4 linked regions of the Arabidopsis thaliana genome follow. The protein of the gene in region 1 interacts with the protein of each later gene in a pairwise test. Each region holds a gene or a part of one and is shown in the gene's direction. Other genes may lie near its edges.

Region 1 (5,815 bases):
AATGAGAATTATTTTTAGGTCCACCAAACTCACAATATTATATGGCCCGTACATTAAATCACTAAAACTTAGTATCGTGTCACTAATAGTATCTCATTGTTCTCTGATTAATGGCCGCATTATTATAAGTTTTTTTTTGTGTCAAAAGCATTATTATAAGTTGAGAAGTCGTTTTCATAGGACCACAAATTGTTTCAGATGTGAGATGTCTTAAATCTTAGGCTTAAGAGAACGACAATTCTGTCCCTCTTTTCTTTGTTCGACCAACTCTGTCTTTGTCCCTCTTTATTTTGTTTCTTTCATTTTTCTATACGAACGAATATTTTTGATGTCATTGCGTAAAACAAAAGGGAATTTGTACATAACTACATAAAAAGGGAGAAATGGAAAGTAGTTTTTCCATATTGGTGAAGGCGTGCATTATTCTCTTTTTCATTTAATAATATGCAAAATCCTCTTTTAATTTGTATTTTTTATTTTTGTTTATAGAATATATTATGTGCTATTATTTTAGTTTTTTTTGTGTCATGTATTATTGGCATTATTAAAAATATTTGATCTAATCCTATTACGATATAAACTACATGCAACATATGCAATTACAACGACCAAGGATTCCATTGTTATGATGAAATATTATTTTAGTTTTTGTAATTAATTGCAGTTTTTTTTTTGCAAAAACTTAAGACTACTTGGATGGCTATTGGCTCCAATATGCCAAGCCGGAGGAAAACCAGAAGATTTAAGAATATATTTTTTTAAACGATGAAGTGGAAAAATAATTTTTTTAACGTCCAACATGTATGTTCAGAAGATTTGTAATTCTGAACGGAACTATTACATGACGTTACAAAAAACCATGCCACAAGAGTATCCGGACTTAACAACGTTTCACAACACATCAATTTTTTTTTTTTCAGTTTTATGGATATTTCTGAAATTCTAGCTAAAAACTATTAGTATATATTAAAGTTCATATATCAAACTATTGTTTGTGTGCTATATTAACTTCATATCAAACTAGGAAAAATATGAAAGCATTTTTCTATCTATCAAATAATACTGCAATTAAATTATCAGAGTGTTACTGTTTTAAGGTTATATGACTAAGAAATGGTGCATCAAAGCTGTATCACATTTTGTCCAAAAAAATTTAACTGTATCACGTAATTGAGTATTTAATATTTTAAAAGAATAACTAATTATATTTGTTCTTTACCAAAAGAAGAAAACAAATATACTATATTTCTATACTATTAAATAGTATTATCAATTAGGTGTTAATACTATTTGTTAAGTGGGCGTTAGAGGATTAGGTGTGTCTACCGGTCCTGTCGTTAAAGGTGGGAAGATATTTTATTTTCCTCATTCTTTTTCAAAATTTCAACTAATTTTTAAGTTCAAGTTGTTGATCACTTATTAGGTCTTAAATCATTGTCACGAGAAGGAAAATAAAAGTGTTTTTAATTTTTATTTTAAGTTTACATTTTATATACATACATATACACGTATTTATGATTTTTGTAAAGCACGTTGTTAACGTGCACTTTTTTCATAACTTTACGTCAAGGTATATATCAGCATATTGTGGAATCAAACATATATATAGTAGCAGTTTTCTAGACTAAAGTAATTCAGATTAATTGTAAAGATAACAATCACCGTATAAAACAATCAACGTCCGTGTGTTTGTATTCACATATCTGATGAAAATTAGTAATTCTAGTTTTCAGTCTTTCGATTAACAATACAAAAATAATACTTTCAATATAATTTGATCTATGTAAAAATAATATATGGTATGGCCGGACCAGACCCGTGTATAACAAACATTGTTTTAAATGTATTTTGTATACAAATAAGACAAAATAATCTATAAACAAATAATGTATATTTTTAGAAAAGAATGGAGTGAAAAACAATTAAAGGGGAAAGAAATCAGGACAGCTTTATATAGGTTGATTTCATCTGACAATTCTCTCTCTCTCTCTTTTTCTAATCATACGAACACAATCTGCTTCAAGAATTAGGGTTTTGATCAGACACAAAAAGTATCTCTCTCCGGTCTTGTGTCAAGGTTATGCAAGAAGCGGCACTAGGTATGATGGGAGCCACCGTAGGCGGAGACGGAGACACCGCGGTCGTGGCGGAGCAGAATAGACAGTTGAAAGGTGAGATAGCGACACATCCGATGTATGAGCAATTATTAGCCGCACACGTGGCGTGTTTAAGAGTAGCTACTCCAATAGATCAACTTCCGATCATTGAAGCTCAGCTTTCTCAATCTCATCATCTTCTCCGTTCTTACGCTTCCACGGCCGTTGGATACCATCATGATCGTCACGAGCTCGATAATTTCTTGGTACGTTTGAATATAAATTTATTAGTTATATTTTAAAAAATAATCTTGTTTGGTTAAATTACTTACAAGTTCTGTTTCTATCTTTTTTCATTTGAAAGTTTTTTTTTGATGGTTTCTAGTGGACTAACTTTGAATGAAGTTATGATTACTAACCAATCTCTGTTGGGAAATTATGTTTCAAACAAATTATGTTTTTTTCAATGATTTTCGTGTTTTACTTTTTACAAGATCGTTGGGAGTTTTATCGATCGAAGATGTAAACCTTTTGTCAATATATCAACAATTTCTATAAATTTTATAATTACTAATTCCTCTTGTGGGAAGTTATACTTCAAACAAATTATGTTTTTTTCCAATGATTTAAGTTATTGGTATTTTTTTACCTGATTTTTGTGAAGAAGTGGTTTTGTTCAACTTTCATGGAAATTTATGTATCTTCACACGAATGTTCAAATGTATAATACACACACATAGATGTAGATATGGTTTTTTGTATAGTTAGGTGCTAAATTTCACATAGAGTGAGTCAATGTTAAATGTCATTTTGTAATTAAATTGAAATTCTATTTAAACTTTGAATATTATCATGTTAGTTACGATTGATTTTCTACTCCGACCTAAAATTTGCAATTGCATTAAAGTTGGAATTGATATTGCAACTATAATTTTGGAATTAGCTTGTGAAATGTTCCAAAAAAATTCGGTTTTATTTATATTTATTTAAGTTAGGTAGAAAATAGGACTATATAATGATCTAACCGCTCAAAACACACCACACCAGAAGCACATATTTATATGTGTGTATGCATATATGTGGAAAATGTTTACACATTGAATAATTATATGAAATGTGAGAGGATATATAAAACATTTAACAATTATAATTAATTGGAAACAGGCACAATATGTAATGGTGTTGTGTAGCTTCAAAGAACAGCTGCAACAGCACGTGAGGGTTCATGCCGTCGAAGCTGTTATGGCTTGCCGTGAAATTGAGAACAACCTTCATTCTCTTACAGGTTCTTTTCTTTTCCACTTTTTTAATGGTATTTTTTATAACCCAATTAAAAAACATAACTTCATGATAATTACATGTTATTATATATACCACATAGCTATAGAATCAGAAAGTACTTAAGATATATATAATTAAAATTCCTGTTAAAAATTAGCGATAGTTAAAACAAATAATAGAGTTAGGTATATCTAAAGGTTCTTGCTGATCATACCAGATATGAACAACTAGTAAACATATTAAATGTAAGGTGTTGGAAGATGATCAGGAAGAGTATATTATATGCCCACACAATAAGAAATAGAGATTTTATTTGTGCTTATATAGTTATATTATATGATTAGTCTAAAGATGAAATTTCTTAATTATACGAAATTATTAAAAATATTTATTTTTGCACTGATGACCACGTAAAGCGTGGGATGTATTGATTAGGATTATTGTATGCGTAAGGGCATATCAGGCTTGAGCCTAAGTTTGGGCTTGGGCTTGACGTCTAAATCTTGTAGTTTGACTGTTGGAGTAACATTTCGTTTAAAACGTTCTGTATTCTTGTAGGAGCAACTTTAGGAGAAGGGTCGGGTGCGACTATGTCGGAGGATGAGGATGATCTTCCGATGGATTTCTCGTCAGATAATTCCGGCGTTGATTTTAGCGGCGGCCACGATATGACGGGATTTGGTCCGTTGCTACCGACTGAATCGGAAAGATCCCTTATGGAAAGAGTCAGACAAGAACTCAAACTAGAACTCAAACAGGTATAATTAACTAATATGTTATGATTCACAATAGTAATACAGTTATTTTACTATTTATTTTCTTGTTATGACGTTTGTTTATTTTTCGGATAAGGGTTTTAAATCGAGAATCGAAGATGTAAGAGAAGAGATAATGAGGAAGAGAAGGGCTGGGAAATTGCCAGGAGACACAACTACTGTCTTGAAAAATTGGTGGCAACAACATTGCAAATGGCCTTACCCTACGGTGAGTACTCTCTATATTTTACGAACAACAAATATAGTTTCCGTCTAATTGTTTGTTTGGGTTTACGTTTTCATGAAATAATATGATAATCATTATAACATGAAACAACAAATGAAGATAGATATGTAAATGCAAAGAAACAATCAAGACCCATTTTGGTTACACTCAAAGTCACAACATGCATTTTTTTTCTATTCTTCAAACATACTGAATTTGTTACTAATACTCAAAAACACTATACATCTCTCTCCCGTTCAATATTTGGCACAAGCCAAAAAGGTGGACTACAGTCTAAAGTTGCATGCTATAGTGGAAAAGAAATAGCCTTTGACGCTATCAGATCTGCACATGCATTGGCCTCTCTTCGTTGAAACTGAAACTGATTGTTTTTGTTTTCTTTCCTAAAATGTCATTAACAACAACAAATTTATAATGTAAAAAAATATGTGTCTTGAACAGGAAGATGACAAGGCAAAATTGGTGGAGGAGACAGGATTGCAGTTGAAGCAAATCAACAATTGGTTCATTAACCAACGCAAGAGGAATTGGCACAACAACTCTCACTCCCTCACTTCCTTGAAGTCCAAGCGCAAACACTAATCTCTTCTTACTATATTAGTTACTACCTCTACATATATTCATACTAATTACACTGCTAAGACATGCATGATACATACGTAATTCATGTTACTGATAATAACGAGGTGTGATCATTAATATCATGTACTTACTTAGCTTATTAGATCCACCGACTACTATATGATTTGTGCGTTGCGTGATTACTGGTTGTTACTAGATTGTAATTCATTTTGTTTGTATTGTGCATTCAAATTTATCTTTTTGGTAAGAACACTGATTTTGTAACGTGTTTTCCGTGGATGACTAGACCATCATTTGGAAATATAAAGTAATGATGCCGACAAAAAAGGCAGTGTTTTATAAAATATAAGCCATATCATAATATCTTTGGACCGATCAATGAAAGAAATCGTCCATAAAAATGGATTAGTTTAATTCCAGTTTAGATTATTGGTATTCTCAAAAACTAATTAACGTATAGTTTTCTAGTTCTTTATTTGATACCAAGATTTGTGTAACTTAATATTTTCAAACGAGTTTACAAACACAACTAGACCGAGAAATAGATATATGATGTATTCATTAAAAAAGAAAAAATAGCTCTTGAGATTGAGAACTTGGGATCTTACTATCTTAGAAAAGTCACCACATGCCGCCATCATTTGTCCACTACGATTCAGACAGAAGATCCGATCTGTTTATATATATATATATAAAAGTAAAGACATTACTTTATGCCTTATGGTAACCCCCGATTACTATAACATTAAACTACTAATTAATTTGACAAAAGAAGTTGGACTGACTGCTTAATAAATGAATGTTAGTGACATACGTATATATTTTCGATAACGTGTATGGTATTTAAGGGCAGG
Region 2 (5,804 bases), on another chromosome or scaffold:
ATTTTCTTTCCAATTTTCTAAAAGTAAAAATTTACTTTAATTTTTTTTTGGGAAAAACCACACCTTTTAATGTATTGGAATAAGGTGAATGGTTTGGGCTCTCTCAAGGGATGTCTTTCTTGCATTGCATCATCTTCTATTCTTCTTCTATCTGCATTGCATCAATGAATCCACTAAAGTTTGGTTCCTGGATGGGTGGTGATAGAGATGGAAATCCAAATGTCACGGTAAAGGTGATAATGAGGGCTTGCTTTCTACATTACTTTTTTAGGGTTAGAATTTTGCTGGTCACTCAACTTGCTAACACACTTTGCTGGTCATTAAGAGTGAGTCCTTGATTTCTATGTAAAGATTAACTTGCTAACACACTTGGTTTTATCAATAAATTTCTTGTTCACAGAAGGAGTATTGCATATGTTTAGGTGGATGGCTATCGATCTTTACGTAAGAGCGATTGACATCTTAAAATTATACGCCGCTCTGAGAATGAATGTGTGTTTTCTGACCCTCAAGTGCTTCAGACACTGAGAATGAATGTGTGTTTTCTGATCCTCAAGTGCTCGACTTCTATATTAATTCGAAAGGAGTTAAGATCAAGTAGATTGTTGAACCTCAGTGAACTAGTTAATGCCCTCTGTGATCATTTATTCCCATTTTGCTTAGTCTGCCTATATATAATTCTAAGTCAATGAACTTGTATAATATTCTAAGCAAGACATCAGTAGCATATAGTATAAGTTGATACACAATAATTAAGCCAAATGACTTGGGAAATTATACGACTTCAGATAAAAAGCGCTCTAGTCTATGGAGTAGATTAAGCATCTGCTGGTGCTGGAGTCGATAGGCTCCATAGCCAACGTACATTTTGTTTCATTTTAGAAAAAGCATTACAAGTTCTTGTTTGGACTATCAGACAACAAAAAAAAGTAACTTTTATAATTCGCCTAGGACCCAAAAGTTATGAGCACGGGTCTAATAGTCTAACATTAATAAGTGTTATTGATTAAGATCGTAGGCATGATTAAAGATGCATTCCAGCTTCAGTTAATAGTCGGTACTATAGTTCCTAGTGTTATTGATACTATTCTGCTTTACTAAATCAAAATTTCAAACTATTAAATAATATAGACTTGTAAGCAAACAATAATAAGGATATGATATCAATAATTATCGATTTCTATTGAAAATAATTTTGTCCTATACGAACAACAATAACTGTTTCACCAAATCAATATCCAATTTTGCTTGGAGTGGCCATGCAAGATACTTGTCCTTGACCCTTTTCTTTGTCTCATACCAGCTTAGAAAGTCATTGTTTAGGCAAGTACCATTAACATTATTTAAAATACAGATCAAGTCACGCTAATACAGATCAAATCAAGTACCATTAGATTTTCTTCTTCTTTTGGTTGTAATAAAGAAGAGCATAATTTCAGATGTTGCAATCTATATAGTCTACGAGTAATAGAGTTCAATTCCATCATCATTAGCCATGATAATAAAGACGTAACACATAACGACACATTGAACTTAAAATAAATAAATAAATAAATAAAAATGATAAGAAAGGAACAATCAAAGAAAAGGCCAAGCAAATTGATTGATATTTTTGTAAAGCTTACGTAAAAAACTTATATGAAAAAAATACGTAAATGGATATAAGATTTGATGGCACAATACAAAGACACGAGTGGTGAGAAAAGAAAGAAGAAAAAGCAAGAACCCAAATGGATCACACATCTCATCAATTCTCCTTAAATGGCTAAAAAAGATCTCACCCTTCTTTACTTTTTTCCCTCTTTCTGATTTGTGATAATTGAAACCAGCACAAGAAGACAACACCATTTTCTTATAACTTTATAAAATTTTATAAATAGAGACACATACATATATATATATATAGAGACATGTAAATAGTAAAATGTAGGGTCTCTTCCCTAATTTAAAGCCTGCAACAGAAATGAGTGCACTTCTCTGTAGTAAACAGTAACACATCGGTCTTCTTCATGTCTTTGGATTTCTTTTTTGGATTTCGATTCTGTTTCAACCATATATTTTCTTTAGATAATTTTACTAGATTCATCTCTTTCTCTATGAACAACATTTTAAATAAATGACATTTTAAGAAAGTGATTATATATAAGATTTTCTTGATTCTGATTTATCTTTTTTTTTGGTCGGAAGATCTTAAAGATATGAAAATGGATTCGTGTCATAAACAGAGGCAGCTCCGTACGTGATTTGGCCCTCCTTCTTTTCAACTTCTTCTTTCTTGAATATTAAAGTTGTATTTTTCCCCTCGATAATACAACTTTTGGTTTGTTTATTTAGTTATAAAATGTTGCTATTTGTTGATCTAGTGCTCTGAATCTTTTAGTGAGGCAGATGATGAAGATTATGAATTTCTTCATGAAATTATTGTAAGAAAAAGTAAGTAATTTTTTTTGTAAGTGTTTGCGTTCATGCAAAAGAGATTAATCAGACCCACTTTTCTCTTTTTCAGTTTTGTTGCATTATTTTGTTCTCTTTAATTTATGAATACTAACTTTATTGTTGATTTCTGCTTTTTGGTTCTCTTTAGGAACATAGAGAAGCTGCGGAATGAAAGTACACTGTTCTTTCACGGAGAAAGAAGATAAATAAGCATTATCTTCTTCTTCAGTTTTTAACACACATTTTGGAAATTTTGATGTAAAAATTCTCTTTGGAACGTTGTGTTGTCTGAAATCTTCCCAAAGGTTCTATCAGAAGAAGAAGGATAAAGGCAAGTTTCAACATTTTTAATGTTCTATGGACATTTGTAGTAATCTAAAGCTTTCTTTTTTACTTATTAGTTCACTGTTTATCACAGATAGCTTTGAGATATTATTGGTCTGTGTATCATTGAGCCTAGTTACGGCTTCATTAACTCATGTTTCGGTTCTTTATATATTTTAATGAAATATTTAATGACATAGTGAGCGATGTTCTCTGTCTCTTGCAGCATTTTACATTTAGTACTATTCTCCAAAGATTTGGTTTCTTAGATTTTCTGAAATCTTTTGTCTAAGTCTTAAATACTTGTCTTCTTTGGTAATGCAGTTTCATAGAAACCCAATGGACAACAACAACAACAACAACACTTTTAGTTCTCTGGATAATGTCATGACTAACCAAAATCCTCTTCTCATGGATTTTATACCTTCAAGAGAAGATTCAACTTCATTCTCAACAATGCTTCCATGGAATACCATCAGATCAGATCCTCTACAAATGGGTGGCTTTGATATTTTCAATTCTATGCTGACTAACAAATACTTATCATCTTCTCCACGGTCTATCGATGTTCAAGATAACCGCAATGTTGAGTTCATGGCTCCTCCTCCTCATCCTCCTCCACTTCATCCTTTGGATCATTTAAGACACTATGATGATTCCTCAAACAACATGTGGGGTTTTGAAGCAAATAGTGAGTTTCAGGCATTTTCAGGTGTAGTTGGTCCAAGTGAACCAATGATGTCTACATTCGGTGAAGAAGATTTCCCGTTTCTAATTTCGAATAAAAGAAACAATGAGCTTTCATTGAGTCTTGCATCAGATGTTTCTGATGAATGCTCGGAGATAAGTCTTTGTGCAGCTACAAGATTAGCCTCAGAGCAAGCTTCTTGCAGCAGCAAAGACATTTCTAATAACGTTGTTACTCAAGGTTTCTCTCAACTTATATTTGGCTCAAAATACCTTCACTCTGTTCAAGAAATACTATCTCATTTCGCCGCATACTCGCTCGATTATTCATCTCGAGGAACCGAGTCAGGAGCTGCTAGTTCAGCCTTTACTTCACGTTTTGAGAATATAACTGAGTTTCTTGATGGTGATTCTAATAACTCGGAGGCGGGTTTCGGATCTACATTTCAAAGGAGAGCATTAGAAGCAAAGAAAACCCATCTCTTGGATCTTCTTCAAATGGTATGTAATATATTCATTCACTTTTTTTGCATAAGTTAAAAAAATGGTTTGATATATATGATGAAGTTTTATGAGTTGATATTTCTCTTCAGGTGGATGATCGATATAGTCATTGCGTAGATGAGATTCATACGGTTATATCAGCGTTCCATGCTGCAACCGAGTTAGATCCACAGTTACACACCCGGTTTGCCCTCCAAACCGTTTCCTTCTTATACAAGAACCTGAGAGAGAGAATCTGCAAGAAGATAATCTCTATGGGATCTGTATTGGAGAGAGGCAAAGACAAGACTCAAGAAACCTCTATGTTCCACCAGCATTGCCTTCTTCAGCAGCTGAAACGAAAGAACCATCAGATTTGGAGACCTCAACGAGGTTTGCCTGAGAAATCTGTTTCGGTTCTACGGAATTGGATGTTCCAAAACTTCCTTCACCCGTAACAATCCTTACTCTTCTTAACTATCTACTTTATGATGATGACATTGTTAACTCGATTTTATAAGCAAAGTTATGTTTTATTTAATGCAGTTACCCGAAAGATTCGGAGAAACATCTTCTAGCTATACGAAGTGGCTTGACAAGAAGTCAGGTAATGTCTCATGTTTGTTTTCTTATGCAATGACTCATTGATAACAAGCTTTGTTTTCTTATGCAATGACTCATTGATAAGATCTTTGTTTTCTTATGCAATGACTTATTGATAACATCTTTGCTCACAATGATAGCAAATATGGTATTCAAATGAGTAATATATATCTTGACATACTAGTCATGTCTGAAAAACCGGTATTGGTTATTTTAAGATGAGATTAGGGCTAGGAAAAAATCAAGCTTTTCTCTTGAACTACAAATGAGACTAGATTATGTATTCTTGAATTCACAATAATGTTACTCAAGTCCTAGGATTGTAGTCGCACATATGTTTTGTTACTGAAGTAAGTTAAAGCGGGCAAATGATATAGAGTGTGTCTCTTTGTTGTGTGTGATTAAAGGTATCAAACTGGTTTATAAATGCGCGGGTTAGGCTATGGAAGCCGATGATAGAAGAGATGTATGCGGAAATGAACAAGAGGAAGCTCAATAACAGTCACATTCAACCCAACGGACCAACTCTTCGAATGCCAAAATCTGTTATGATGAGCCAAGCAATGCATAAATAAGACAACAATTGTGTTTACCAACTTTGTGATAATTAGGCAATTGCTACTCTATGATTGCCCAAAACCTAAACCATGTACGACTATCATTACGTATGTTATAATTGTATATACAACTCCTTTATCTTTGACTATTTCATTTTATTATCCTGTATTCTTATATCATAATTATCATCATCCTCATTAAACTTCATGATCACCATTTTTACGTAAAAATAAAATTAAGTTCATGAAAATATATAAAAAGTATGTAACCACTGAAGATTTATTTTCATATTTATTCAAACAAACTACAAAATACAAACCTAAAGTTTTATTTCACCGTTTGCATTTAACTTTTTTTCTCTTACAAGTGAGTTTTATTATTCCAAAAACTGAAATGAATAATGACGAAAATCTCCTAGCAAGCGACGTCGTATTTTGGTTTGACTTGAGAATCTTCGGTCAACTAATAAAAACGCAGCGTTTTCATCTGGTACGGACACAATTAGAAATAGAAAGTAGGAAAAGGAAGACACTTTGCTAAAACTGAGGAAGAAAGTGTAAAGACGGAGCCTTTTACGGCGAATGGAGGAAGACAGAGCCACCATGACCGGAGCTGTAGCCACTCGAGACTCGGTGGAACCCAGCGAAGACATACTCATATGCGTCGATGTTGATGCGGAATCGACGGTGGAGATGAAGACCACTGGAACTAAC
Region 3 (5,530 bases), on another chromosome or scaffold:
ATATGAGTGGGAAAAAAAAGTCCAAAACAAAAGTATGTATATGATATAGATATAATAAATATGTGTGTTTACTTGGTTTGAACTGCACTTGTATATTGACAATAAATTTATGGTATAAGAATGCAAATTTTTATGTTTTTTACTTTTTTTTATGATAAAAAAGAATGTAAATTATTCTTTTGGAATTAAAAAAGAATTGAGTATATCAATCAGTCTCTTCGCTCGCTATCATTGAAGTTTGATCTTAAAATCTATATATCTTACAGTATTTCGATGCTTGTGGCCTGTGGGTGTTATGTATCGTAATAGTTGTTTTGTTGGCTCAATTGGGAATGGTTGCAGCAAGTATTTTTTTTGGTTGATGCTTCGATGCAAGCTCTTTCATGTTTCTTTTTTTCTTTTCAACATAGTATTTGTGTAATATGCACCTACTAAAATACTCCTATGGATCCGCGACTCTTATTCCCGAAAAAGTTCACTGGATTGATCAACGTGAATTTTTACTCCACTTTTTGTTAAAAGTTAAAACGTAACCATCCACACCAGTGTCTTTTTCTTTAAATGTATATGTCTCCACGTACACACACAAATAGTATAGGTCATGTTCGTGAAACTAATTTCATATATTTGACCAGAATATTTTTATTAGAAATCATATTTTATTGACAACACATAACTAATATAAGTGCTTGAATTTGAAATACTATAGAAATAAACTAAAAGATGAGAAGCGTATAGAGATTTGATTAAGTTCACGAAAAGCGGTGGAAAAAGAGCGGCCTTGGCTTGTGAACTCTAAAAACTCAAATCTTATCATTTATGGTTTGACAAACAAAAAAAAAAGATAGATAGATAGAGAGGTGATCAGCTGATACACGTGTGTTTTCACGTTACTTCTTTTTTCGTATTTTGTGGCTCCTCACCCTTACGTCTAACGCAAAAAGAAATAGAGTATTTATTACAAAAACAAGATATGATTTGGAATATTCAATAATCTTTCTTTTGAGTCAATATTGAACTTAATTTTTGTTCAAAATAAGCTAGGGAGTTGCTCTAGATCCCCCATTTCAAATTTGACCGTAAAATTTGGATTGTTATGTGTTTCTATGTAGAAGATAGAGAAGAACTAGATAACTATATATGTAATGATATTTATATATCAAATGGGATGAAAATTAATATTGACACATTATGTGCATAATACAAAGGGATTGATTGAATGAGCATCTTTTGATTAGCCAATCATGATTTTCTGCAAAAGCATTTGGGGAGACATTGAGAACTTCCGACTGCACGGCTTTATCCTGCTACAATTGGAAGCTTTTTTTACTAAGCATTAAGTATCTCTAACAATTATAAGAGGGCAATAATAACATCCCTTTTTCTTTCTTACAAAGCAATAAAAAAGGACAATAGTAACGAAAATTCATTTTTCCCACGATTGATATCTTTTGGTTGTAGTTTTTAGATTTTCTAAAACATTTTATGTGATGGTTGATATTTCTCTACTTTTAGAAACTAAAAGAGAATGCATAGAAAATTGCGAAAAACAATGATGTCTCGATAATTAATGGGAATATGATAGTAGAATAAAACAGCCACTGCAATCAAACTACTTACTACTAATCCTCAATATTTTAGATTAACTTATGTAGATTTTCATTTATCTTTATTCTTTAGAAAATTGTTTTTTTTTTTTTTGAAACATGTTTACGTATCTTTTTTTAAGTCGTTTAATTTGTTTTTATTGGGTCACGAATGTGTACCATTCACACCCTAATTAGTAATTAGAGAAACAAATGATTACGAATATACATACTTAAGAAATTTAATGCCCCCTTGCTATACCTTGTGTACACATGTATAATGTATCTCTCTCTATAAATATGGGAGCTTGGTGATGCTTACTCATTTATGACTTCTCAATACAAAAAGCTCCCCTCACTTTTTTAAGTTTTGTCTTCTCTAATCCGTCTTCTTCTACTATCTTGCATGTCTTGCGTCTTTTATATACATCTCTCGTAAACCCTAGCAAATCATACAAGGTCAGTCCCTTTTATTTTGTTAACTCCTTACTAAACAAAGCTCTAATATATTTGGTGTTAATCATTTTTTTTAATTGTCAAAATTCAATTTGAAAACTTGTTTTGTACATATAAAATACATGTATATGTATATGGTGAAACATGTAATCTGCCTAGGTTTGGTTTTAACTTGTTCTACGTGTGTTTTTGTTTCATGTATATGTTTTTAAAACTGACTGTGAAGCTCATGGATTGTTGTCATCAGGTCAAGAAGCTTGACCTTCATTAGACTTAAGCAGTTTATAATCAACTACCACGAATAGCAATGGATAAAGATTACTCGGTACGTACGTTTTTTTTTCCAGTATTTCAAGATCCTTAATCTCTTTTCTTATACAAATTGATAGATATCTATGTATAAGATTCAAATCTTCCTGCTTATGATATTAACTTCATTCTCCAATTCTGGTTTTTATTAGGCACCAAACTTCTTAGGTGAATCCTCAGGCGGTAACGATGATAACAGCTCTGGTATGATAGACTATATGTTCAATAGAAACCTTCAACAACAACAAAAGCAATCGATGCCACAACAGCAGCAACATCAACTCTCTCCTTCCGGATTTGGAGCAACACCTTTTGATAAAATGAACTTCTCTGATGTGATGCAGTTTGCGGACTTCGGTTCGAAACTTGCGTTGAACCAGACCAGAAACCAAGACGATCAAGAAACCGGGATTGACCCCGTTTATTTCTTGAAGTTCCCTGTCTTGAACGACAAAATAGAGGACCATAACCAAACCCAACATCTCATGCCTTCTCATCAGACGTCTCAAGAAGGAGGTGAGTGTGGAGGAAACATAGGCAATGTGTTTCTTGAAGAAAAAGAAGATCAAGACGATGACAACGACAACAACTCCGTGCAACTACGTTTTATTGGAGGAGAAGAAGAAGATAGGGAGAACAAGAATGTTACGAAAAAGGAGGTGAAGAGCAAGAGGAAGAGAGCTAGAACGAGCAAGACCAGCGAAGAAGTGGAAAGCCAACGGATGACTCATATCGCGGTCGAAAGAAACCGTAGGAAGCAAATGAATGAGCATCTTCGTGTCCTTAGATCTCTCATGCCTGGCTCCTACGTTCAAAGGGTATGATATTCATAAATTATATCTTAAAGAAAGAATTTTCGTGAATGTTTTTTTATATGTATATGTACAACTAATTATACTGTCTACACCAAATATTAATTGTATAAAATAGGGAGACCAAGCGTCAATCATAGGAGGAGCAATAGAGTTTGTGAGAGAGCTCGAGCAACTCCTACAATGTCTTGAATCACAGAAGCGTCGAAGAATCTTAGGAGAAACCGGTAGGGACATGACAACGACAACGACTTCTTCTTCTTCTCCCATAACTACGGTAGCGAACCAAGCACAACCGCTCATTATTACGGGAAATGTAACCGAGCTAGAGGGCGGAGGAGGGCTTCGGGAGGAGACTGCGGAGAACAAGTCGTGCTTGGCTGACGTGGAGGTGAAGCTGCTAGGGTTTGACGCCATGATCAAGATACTTTCAAGAAGAAGGCCGGGACAGCTGATTAAGACTATAGCTGCTTTGGAGGATCTTCATCTCTCTATTCTTCACACTAACATCACTACCATGGAACAAACCGTCCTCTACTCCTTTAATGTCAAGGCAAGTTTATATGTTAAAAAGTAATTCATCATTCATATTCAGCTTTCATATGCAAAATCTAGACTCATCAAATAATACATGTAATTATCTAATCTGGATTAGCTGTCATAAAACACATTTATAATTTTATTTAGGGTTTTCAATATAATCATAGATTATGGATTTGTATTGTTAAAGTATATGTAATAACTATCAATGGCTAACATGAGGTAGATGTAAAATATGTGCAGATAACAAGTGAAACGAGGTTTACGGCAGAAGACATAGCAAGTTCCATCCAACAGATATTTAGTTTCATTCATGCAAATACCAACATGTAAGGATATATATTTTTCTGCTATTTAAATATTCTTTCGATTAAAGATACTTTTGATAAGTTTCTGTTGGTCCCTTAAAACAAAAGTTTATGTTGGTTCATTGTTATCCATTTCACATGCCTTTTGTGTTTTGTTTGTTTTTACCTTTTAGATGTCATGATTATATCTTTTTGTGTGCAATGTGGTCTATCTAATCATCAAGACATCATTACTATGTGTGTGTGTGACTCTGTGAGTGTGTGAGTATATGAGTCTGGTAAAAAGTCTTAGAGTAAAAGATATTGGTGGTTCGATGTTATACATTTTACTATTTTAGATGTCTAGCTTTTGTCTTTTGTTTGTTCTTTTACCTTTTAGATGTTATGATTATTTGCTTTTAATGTTAGATATATATGGTGTATCTAATCTATCATGGTTATTTTCTTTGTGTGTTACATATGGTGTGTATATATATATATATATATATTGTAACATATTTATCACAATATTTGAAGTGTTAAAGCTTGGAAACAATTTTATTTCAGATCTGGAAGCTCTAACCTGGGAAATATTGTGTTTACTTGAAAATCATCACACGGCGACAACTTTGTACACTGGTGAAGATTACAGTACGTAATAATCTCTACATATTGGGTTTTATTCTCCAAGCATTTGGAAGAGTGTTTAAGTTAAAGGGAGTGCTTACTTTATTTTTTTGGGGCTTTTTTCATGCAATTTAAATTTTAGTGATGATTGTGTCGCTTGTAATGTTAGAACTCGTTGTTGTGATTTCTGCTGCTTTGATTTGTAGGTTTTGAACAAGCGGTTTAGAATGCTAAACCACTTATTTACTTGAAATAACTTTTTTCACAAAATAAAAAAGAAAAGAAAAAAACAATGCATGAAAACTTTTCTTGAGGGGAGGGAGAGGAACTATCATTTTCTTGAGATTTGTCTATGAGAAATGGGCCAATATATATACAACAAGAAAACATGAAGAAAAAAAAGGTTAGAAATAGCCAGTTTTAATCTTCAAAAAATTGACCATTCGGTTAAACAAAGTGACGCTTTTACACTTTTTCAAAAGTGATTTGACTAAAGAAACTAAGTGTCAGAATTCAGAAAAACAAATTCATTTAGGAGACTCAAAATGATTGTCTTTAATCTTTCTCTCGTACGTCAACAAAGACGAAACTCTTGTCTTCATCTTCTTTATATATTCACCATTAGCTCTAATCCAAGTCAGATCCGACACATACACAATAAATTCCAAAAGCACTGCTTGGTTTTCTTCTCACACCAAGTAGGTTCGTACGGGGGTAAGATCTTGACAGAGTCCAAGGCCAGAGAATTCCAATTCCAAATCCGTCCAAGACTTGAAGATCCTTTGTTATATAGCTTATATTAATTCATCGAAGGTAAGCAAAAAAGATTCGTGTTTGTCAATCGTATTATTGTGTTAAATGGTAAGATAATCATTGTAATTACTTTTGAAAATGGAGAGAGTTGATCTAGATT
Region 4 (6,472 bases), about 19 Mb from region 1:
ATATGAACATAGACATTTTGACCTTTGCAATAAGTAGTGACATTGCCTTGTTTACAAAGGCACAAAAAATCTCGTGTCCTCGTATTAAACCCACAAACTCCACCACCTTTAGTCGTTTCTTGGCAAAGAAGGCACTTCATTGTCACTGGAAATTCGTAATCAACCCTTATCCCGTACTCTGGAAACTGATCATACGGTGCATTCTCCACACCTGTACTCCTCCAATACACACTTGTATACGTCGCACAGTCCTGCAGCATGAGCCTAAGAGATTGAGTCGCTTTAGGGTAATACGAACAACAAGAAACCCTAGATCCCAAAGCAGAGCCACATTCAGGCAAATGTCTGCATAGATAGCTAGAACTATCGCAGGACGAGTCACATCTATCTGGAAACCTTTCGCAGAAGAGCGGTTTTGGTTCGACGATAACTTTATCGGTGTTGCAGTTGAAGAACAAGTAGTCGTTTTGAGGAGAGACAGTGAAGTGTGTACTTGAATCGATGCTAAAAGATCTAGTGGGTCGAAAATTGTCTCGATCTTGACAGTTCCACATGAATGGATCGGAGACAAGAAGGTGAGGATCAGAGTAGCTTATAGATTTAACAGGGTATTTACCAGATGGTGTTCTAAGTTCGAGCTTGGTATCGTTGTCGGAGCAAATGAGCATGTGTCTGTAATAAGGGCTACCACAACCGTCGTCGATGGAAAAAGGGTAATTTATCGGAATGTTGCCGCAAGAAGATCTGCAGAGATTTGATTGGGATGATGTTGTTGATGATTGAAGAAGGATGGTCATGAGAAGGGAGAAGAAGATAATGTAAGAGTGAAGTGGAGACATTGTTCAAAAATTAGGAGTTTAGATTTGATTATTGGGTAGTTTTTAGTTATGAGATTATAATTTGGTGGTGTGAAGTGTTGAGTAAGCTTGGAATGTCTTGTTAAAGAGTTTAAGAATCAATCTTGTCATGTGCTTGTTAATATTGCTTATTTTAGGTTTCGGTTTGTTTTTAAAATTTCACCTTTCTTTTTAGTATAAAGTATTCCAAGAGGACTCGTGGTTTTGTTTCAGATTATTTGAAATATTTACATACAATATGTCAACAAACGTACTATTCTTTTTTCTGATATTTTACAACAAAATTTGTTCTTTAACATGTTATCTAAAAACCATTTAACAAAAAAAATAAAATGTATGAGAACCTTATAAAATACAAAATAGTAATTTCAGTATATAATAGTTTTGAATTTTCTTTTATTTAGAATTTCGTTTAAAGGGTTGTGATTTGTGAAGTAATCTTTGGAAGATAATCTCAATGTAAACAACACATTGGGCTTCTCATAGGCCCAATATAAACAACACATTGATCATTATCCATGTAAGGTGAACTCTTTAATCGAAACCGTTCAATTTCAGTCATCTCAATCCAACGGTTAGTATTCCAAGGAGCACGTAATCCACTCTAAATTCGTAAACACGTGATTTCTCACTAAATATAAAACTTGATACGTTACGCCTTCCTATCCATCCGTCAACGATTAAATCCAATCGTTCAATATAGAGATCCAACGGCTAATAACGAAACATTAGCCCACACGAAATCTCCTTTTTTTTTTTGACGGGATTATACAGTGGGCCTCCACCTGTAATTGTCCATTTAGGAGACAGCGCGGTTAATTTAGCATTATCCCTCCTCACAGTCATCTCTTTCTTCGCAAATAAATGTAACCATCTCTCTTCTCGTTTTCTTCAACAAAAATCCTCATTTCTCTGAGAATCTGGTGCTTTAGCTTTGGTGAGCTCTCTTTCTTATGAAACTTATCGATTCTCTTCTCGTTGATTGTCTTATACTTTTAGTTCTCTGCTTAATTTATTGTCCTTAATACTCGTGGATTTGTTCATAAATCGTTTTCTGAGCAGTTAGGTAAGAGTTTTGTTACCGAATTTCATGTTCTTCGATTTTGAATCTGGATGATTGTATGATGTGATTAGTAGACTCGCTTAGATTTTGTGATCTGTGTATGGTTTGTGGCTAATTTTGGTTTCATCGGTGGTATGAATTTATTTGGGGTTTTAGGTTTGTTTGATTACGTAATCGGACTGTTTACTTGAAGATTTATCGATTATAGTTGTGATCGTTTTTAGTTGATTGAGAAGAAGAAAATAAATTTCATGCTCTTGTTATTGTCGCGATTGTGGCGATTTTCAGTGTCTTATGAATCAATTATGTTGCATGTGAGTCTTGGTGCAATTGAGATTGTTTCCTTTTTTTACTAGATTGCTTGTCTTATTGAACAAAACTTTCCATTTATGTTGAAAAGGTTTATAGGAACGGATGTTTAGGGTTTTGTTGTAATCTGGGTATTTGCTTTCTGATTTCGGCAAGCAAATGTCGATTTCAAGGTTTATATCACTTTCTCTAGCAAAAGAAGTCTTTAGTCATTTGCAAAGTCAAGAGAGTTTTTACTTTATTTATTGCTTCCACGCTATTGCTTCGTGGCTGATTGAGAGAGACCAATTAAACTAATAATTTGTAGTTTGTACAATATATTGCGTGTAACATTGTCCTTCGTTATCTGTTTGAGGAGGAGGACCGAGTTAGCCTATTTTTAGTCACTTTACAAATTTTCTTTTATGTTGCATCATTCAATATGAACTCTCTGATATAAATATATGTATACATACTGGTTGACTTTTATGGGTATGGTTCTCTGCTTTTTTTCTCTGTGATGGTCTCTTGATTCTAACTTTCTTTGTTTTATGTTTTTGGTTTTTGTTGTCAATGAATAGGTAAAATGAAGATATACTCTAGAACGGTTGCTGTTTCACTCATTGTGTCATTCCTCCTGTGTTTCTCTGCCTTTGCTGAGCGCAATGACGGGACCTTCAGAGTTGGACTGAAAAAACTCAAGTTGGATTCGAAAAATCGGCTTGCAGCACGCGTCGAATCCAAGCAAGAAAAGCCCCTGAGAGCTTACAGACTTGGAGATTCTGGAGATGCTGATGTTGTTGTGCTTAAGAATTATCTAGATGCTCAGTACTATGGTGAGATCGCCATTGGTACTCCACCTCAGAAGTTCACTGTGGTTTTTGACACTGGGAGCTCTAACCTCTGGGTGCCATCATCAAAATGCTATTTCTCAGTAAGCAACATTTGGACTATTGTTGTTAGCTGTGGTTGAGATACTTTTGAGTAGAAAACTAATTGTGTTCTATCTCTTTTGCAGCTTGCATGTCTCTTGCATCCCAAATACAAGTCGTCTCGTTCAAGCACATATGAGAAGAATGGTTTGTTCTCTCTCTTAACTTGAAATTTTTTGCAGTTGGATTTCCCAGTTGGTAGATACTTTACAGTTCACTCAATGTAGCCTCTAGAATTCATGTTAATGTGCAGAAAACCATTGTTAAAAGATGCAACATCACTACTGATAGCAGCTGCTAGGTTATAACTAACTTGCTCATCTTTGATGCAGGAAAAGCTGCCGCAATTCATTACGGCACTGGAGCAATTGCTGGTTTTTTTAGTAATGATGCTGTCACAGTTGGCGATTTAGTTGTCAAGGATCAGGTAAACTATATGTCCGACCCTAATCAGTACTCTTACAACATACACATCAATGACCTCCTTCTTAACATTTGTCTATCTCATCAGGAGTTTATCGAGGCAACCAAGGAGCCTGGTATAACATTTGTTGTAGCTAAATTTGATGGTATCCTTGGTCTTGGATTCCAAGAGATCTCTGTTGGAAAAGCTGCTCCTGTTTGGTATGCCTGCACATTCTTCTCTTGTTTGGACTGAGTTACTACATTCCTGTAGTGTTAATGCTAATATGTCTTGTTTTTTACAGGTACAACATGCTCAAGCAAGGCCTTATCAAGGAGCCGGTTTTTTCATTTTGGCTTAACCGTAATGCAGATGAAGAAGAAGGTGGTGAACTTGTATTTGGAGGTGTTGATCCAAATCATTTCAAGGGCAAACATACATATGTTCCTGTGACACAAAAGGGCTACTGGCAGGTTTGTGATACATCACTTCCTTGTCTGGTTTTCTCATAACGTTTTCCAGTGACGATCTAACTCAAGCTATATATATTTTGTTATAGTTTGACATGGGTGATGTTCTTATTGGCGGTGCACCCACTGGTATGTGTAACACTGATTGGCGTTGTTCTTTATAACACATATATATAGCTTTTCCTGACAAATTCAAAAAGGTTTTGCTATTTATGTTTGCTGGTGACAACTGGTTCTAAAGTTTGAGTTACTGTTATACAGGGTTCTGTGAAAGTGGCTGTTCTGCGATAGCAGATTCTGGTACATCTTTGCTTGCCGGTCCAACGGTAAGCAAGAATTAAAATTGCTTATAGCTTTATAGAATTATGGTTTTTTAACTAGTATATGTAGTAATATTTCAATTTTTTCCCTGTGTAGACTATAATCACCATGATAAACCATGCTATTGGAGCAGCTGGAGTTGTTAGCCAGCAGTGCAAGACTGTTGTGGATCAATACGGGCAGACCATTTTGGATTTACTTTTGTCTGAGGTTAGTGTGCTTAATATTGGACTAGCTAATAAAATCTGTGACAAGTCATATGCTGTGCAAATTATTTTGGCTTACCATTCATCCCCCTTGCGCCTTGCAGACCCAACCGAAGAAAATCTGCTCGCAGATTGGTCTGTGTACTTTTGATGGTACCCGTGGTGTCAGGTAAAGTTATAATCTGTAGTCATTGCCATTAAGCTAGGATCTTCATTTTGGAATGCTTGTTTGTTTTTCCGTGTGATCTGCTCATATTTAGTATGATTTTGTTTATAAATTATCTAGTATGGGCATTGAGTCGGTGGTGGACAAGGAAAACGCCAAATTGTCTAATGGTGTTGGAGATGCTGCGTGTTCTGCATGTGAGATGGCTGTTGTGTGGATCCAGAGCCAGTTGAGGCAAAACATGACTCAAGAGCGCATATTGAACTACGTCAACGAGGTAACCAATAAGTTGTCATTTCAAGACTTTTGTGAAACAGTAGTTATTGTTGTCCTGATTACTGATTATAAATCGCTACTGTGGGTTTTCTTAACAGCTATGTGAACGCCTCCCCAGCCCAATGGGAGAGTCTGCAGTTGACTGTGCACAACTGTCAACAATGCCCACTGTTTCACTTACCATTGGAGGCAAAGTATTTGATCTTGCTCCAGAAGAGGTATGATAGTGAACTATTTAAAGACAACATTCATATTATGTAGTGAATATGACCATCTACTAATCTGTTGTACTGGTATGATGTGAGCAGTATGTTCTGAAAGTTGGTGAGGGACCTGTGGCACAGTGCATCAGTGGTTTTATTGCTCTTGACGTTGCTCCACCTCGTGGACCTCTCTGGTAAACCATTGAATCTATTACTCTGTAGCACAATTTCTTCTTGCTTTCTTTTTCTAACCCTAAGAACGGTGGTAAAAATGTAACAGGATCTTGGGAGATGTGTTCATGGGCAAATACCACACCGTATTTGACTTTGGTAACGAACAGGTCGGGTTTGCAGAGGCAGCCTAAACACGATCGGGTTGGTGTCGCGTATGGTTTTAGTATGAACAATCTGCGTCTCAAGTGTTGTTTGTATGTTTTCTGGAGTTGAGGACTTTGAGTCGTAGTAGAAATGGTGGCGCAGTTCCTTTTAAGTTGTTTCCTAACGAAAAAAGGCCTTTGTAGTTTTGAAGGCATTGGCTTTGTAAATACCTTCTAAGTAAGTTCGATGGTGAAAAAACTGAAAACTTTAATAAAGCCTGCCTCTTTTGTTTATGCTTAGTAAGTTGTATCAAATGGTTCGGTAAAAACGGTGTAGCATAAAAAATTTGAAAATGGTCAAGCTCGCTTTATCTTCATTTTCTAACCACATAAATTCCTACGTCAAAAAGTCACGATGATAATAGTTATTTGTCATATATTGAAGAACGTTCCTGCTTGAAACATGCATTTTAAGTTGATAGACTGTTTGAGACCCAATTTTCTAAAACCTTAATAATTCGTCAAGAGCGAGGTAAATTCCCCAACACGAAGCTTGCAGCATCCTTCCTGAATTTCGGAACAAGTATCTATTTTGAACAAGTCTGTGAACTTATGAGAAATTATAATGACAACCCACTTGCAGCGACTGTATACGTATATGGAAGGAAATAAGAACCAATTCGAGAAGTTTTTGTTGCGAAATGAACAAGTTACAACGAGTTACAGTTTCCTATAGCAGAAGAATTGATTAATTTCTACCTTAGCTAAACACTTAAACAAGAAGCAAACCTATACTTGTTTTGTATTCTCTGATCTTTCCCAATCATCTTCCATGTTAACAAGATGCGATAACACCAAACCACAAGCTCCTGATATCAAACTCGAAACATATATATTCAGACGGCAGAATCGCAAAGAAGTTTCAAGTGTTGGAATAAGGTCTCTCAAGTATTCTTTTTGCTGCTTGAAC

What was found.
Region 2: the proteins of KNAT7 (region 1) and ATH1 interact in a two-hybrid assay, tested with the Arabidopsis thaliana proteins (one large-scale study listed by BioGRID).
Region 3: the proteins of KNAT7 (region 1) and FMA interact in a two-hybrid assay, tested with the Arabidopsis thaliana proteins (one large-scale study listed by BioGRID).
Region 4: the proteins of KNAT7 (region 1) and APA1 interact in a two-hybrid assay, tested with the Arabidopsis thaliana proteins (one large-scale study listed by BioGRID).

Annotation. Positions count from the first base shown.
Region 1 is NC_003070.9:23,335,388-23,341,202, forward strand, and holds KNAT7 (homeobox knotted-like protein), read left to right. Parts: upstream 1-1,779; 5' UTR 1,780-2,080; coding exon 2,081-2,362; intron 2,363-3,260; coding exon 3,261-3,381; intron 3,382-3,935; coding exon 3,936-4,135; intron 4,136-4,229; coding exon 4,230-4,361; intron 4,362-4,820; coding exon 4,821-4,961; 3' UTR 4,962-5,305; downstream 5,306-5,815. UniProt on the Arabidopsis thaliana protein: May be involved in secondary cell wall biosynthesis.
Region 2 is NC_003075.7:15,914,169-15,919,972, reverse strand, and holds ATH1 (homeobox protein ATH1), read left to right. Parts: upstream 1-1,819; 5' UTR 1,820-2,433; exon of another isoform or gene 2,434-2,584; 5' UTR 2,585-2,767; intron 2,768-3,084; 5' UTR 3,085-3,099; coding exon 3,100-3,948; intron 3,949-4,040; coding exon 4,041-4,384; intron 4,385-4,476; coding exon 4,477-4,537; intron 4,538-4,940; coding exon 4,941-5,108; 3' UTR 5,109-5,303; downstream 5,304-5,804. Other genes in the region: AT4G32970 (BRISC/BRCA1-A complex protein), read left to right, coding at 5,673-5,804. UniProt on the Arabidopsis thaliana protein: Transcription factor which may be involved in the signal transduction pathway downstream of the COP1 gene. Controls floral competency as a specific activator of FLC expression. Is responsive of the nuclear import of SHOOT MERISTEMLESS (STM).
Region 3 is NC_003074.8:8,714,592-8,720,121, reverse strand, and holds FMA (basic helix-loop-helix (bHLH) DNA-binding superfamily protein), read left to right. Parts: upstream 1-1,910; 5' UTR 1,911-2,045; intron 2,046-2,289; 5' UTR 2,290-2,349; coding exon 2,350-2,367; intron 2,368-2,503; coding exon 2,504-3,169; intron 3,170-3,281; coding exon 3,282-3,716; intron 3,717-3,946; coding exon 3,947-4,032; coding exon of another isoform or gene 4,033-4,036; exon of another isoform or gene 4,037-4,557; coding exon 4,558-4,597; 3' UTR 4,598-5,004; downstream 5,005-5,530. UniProt on the Arabidopsis thaliana protein: Transcription activator. Together with MYB88 and MYB124, ensures that stomata contain just two guard cells (GCs) by enforcing a single symmetric precursor cell division before stomatal maturity. Together with SPCH and MUTE, regulates the stomata formation.
Region 4 is NC_003070.9:4,016,197-4,022,668, reverse strand, and holds APA1 (aspartic proteinase A1), read left to right. Parts: upstream 1-1,903; 5' UTR 1,904-2,672; coding exon 2,673-2,700; intron 2,701-2,789; coding exon 2,790-3,142; intron 3,143-3,226; coding exon 3,227-3,287; intron 3,288-3,472; coding exon 3,473-3,567; intron 3,568-3,651; coding exon 3,652-3,764; intron 3,765-3,847; coding exon 3,848-4,016; intron 4,017-4,102; coding exon 4,103-4,142; intron 4,143-4,274; coding exon 4,275-4,339; intron 4,340-4,430; coding exon 4,431-4,544; intron 4,545-4,644; coding exon 4,645-4,709; intron 4,710-4,826; coding exon 4,827-4,983; intron 4,984-5,080; coding exon 5,081-5,200; intron 5,201-5,290; coding exon 5,291-5,379; intron 5,380-5,465; coding exon 5,466-5,550; 3' UTR 5,551-5,957; downstream 5,958-6,472. Other genes in the region: AT1G11915 (wall-associated receptor kinase galacturonan-binding protein), read right to left, coding at 23-839; AT1G11905 (B-cell receptor-associated protein 31-like protein), read right to left, coding at 6,447-6,472. UniProt on the Arabidopsis thaliana protein: Involved in the breakdown of propeptides of storage proteins in protein-storage vacuoles. Possesses aspartic protease activity in vitro.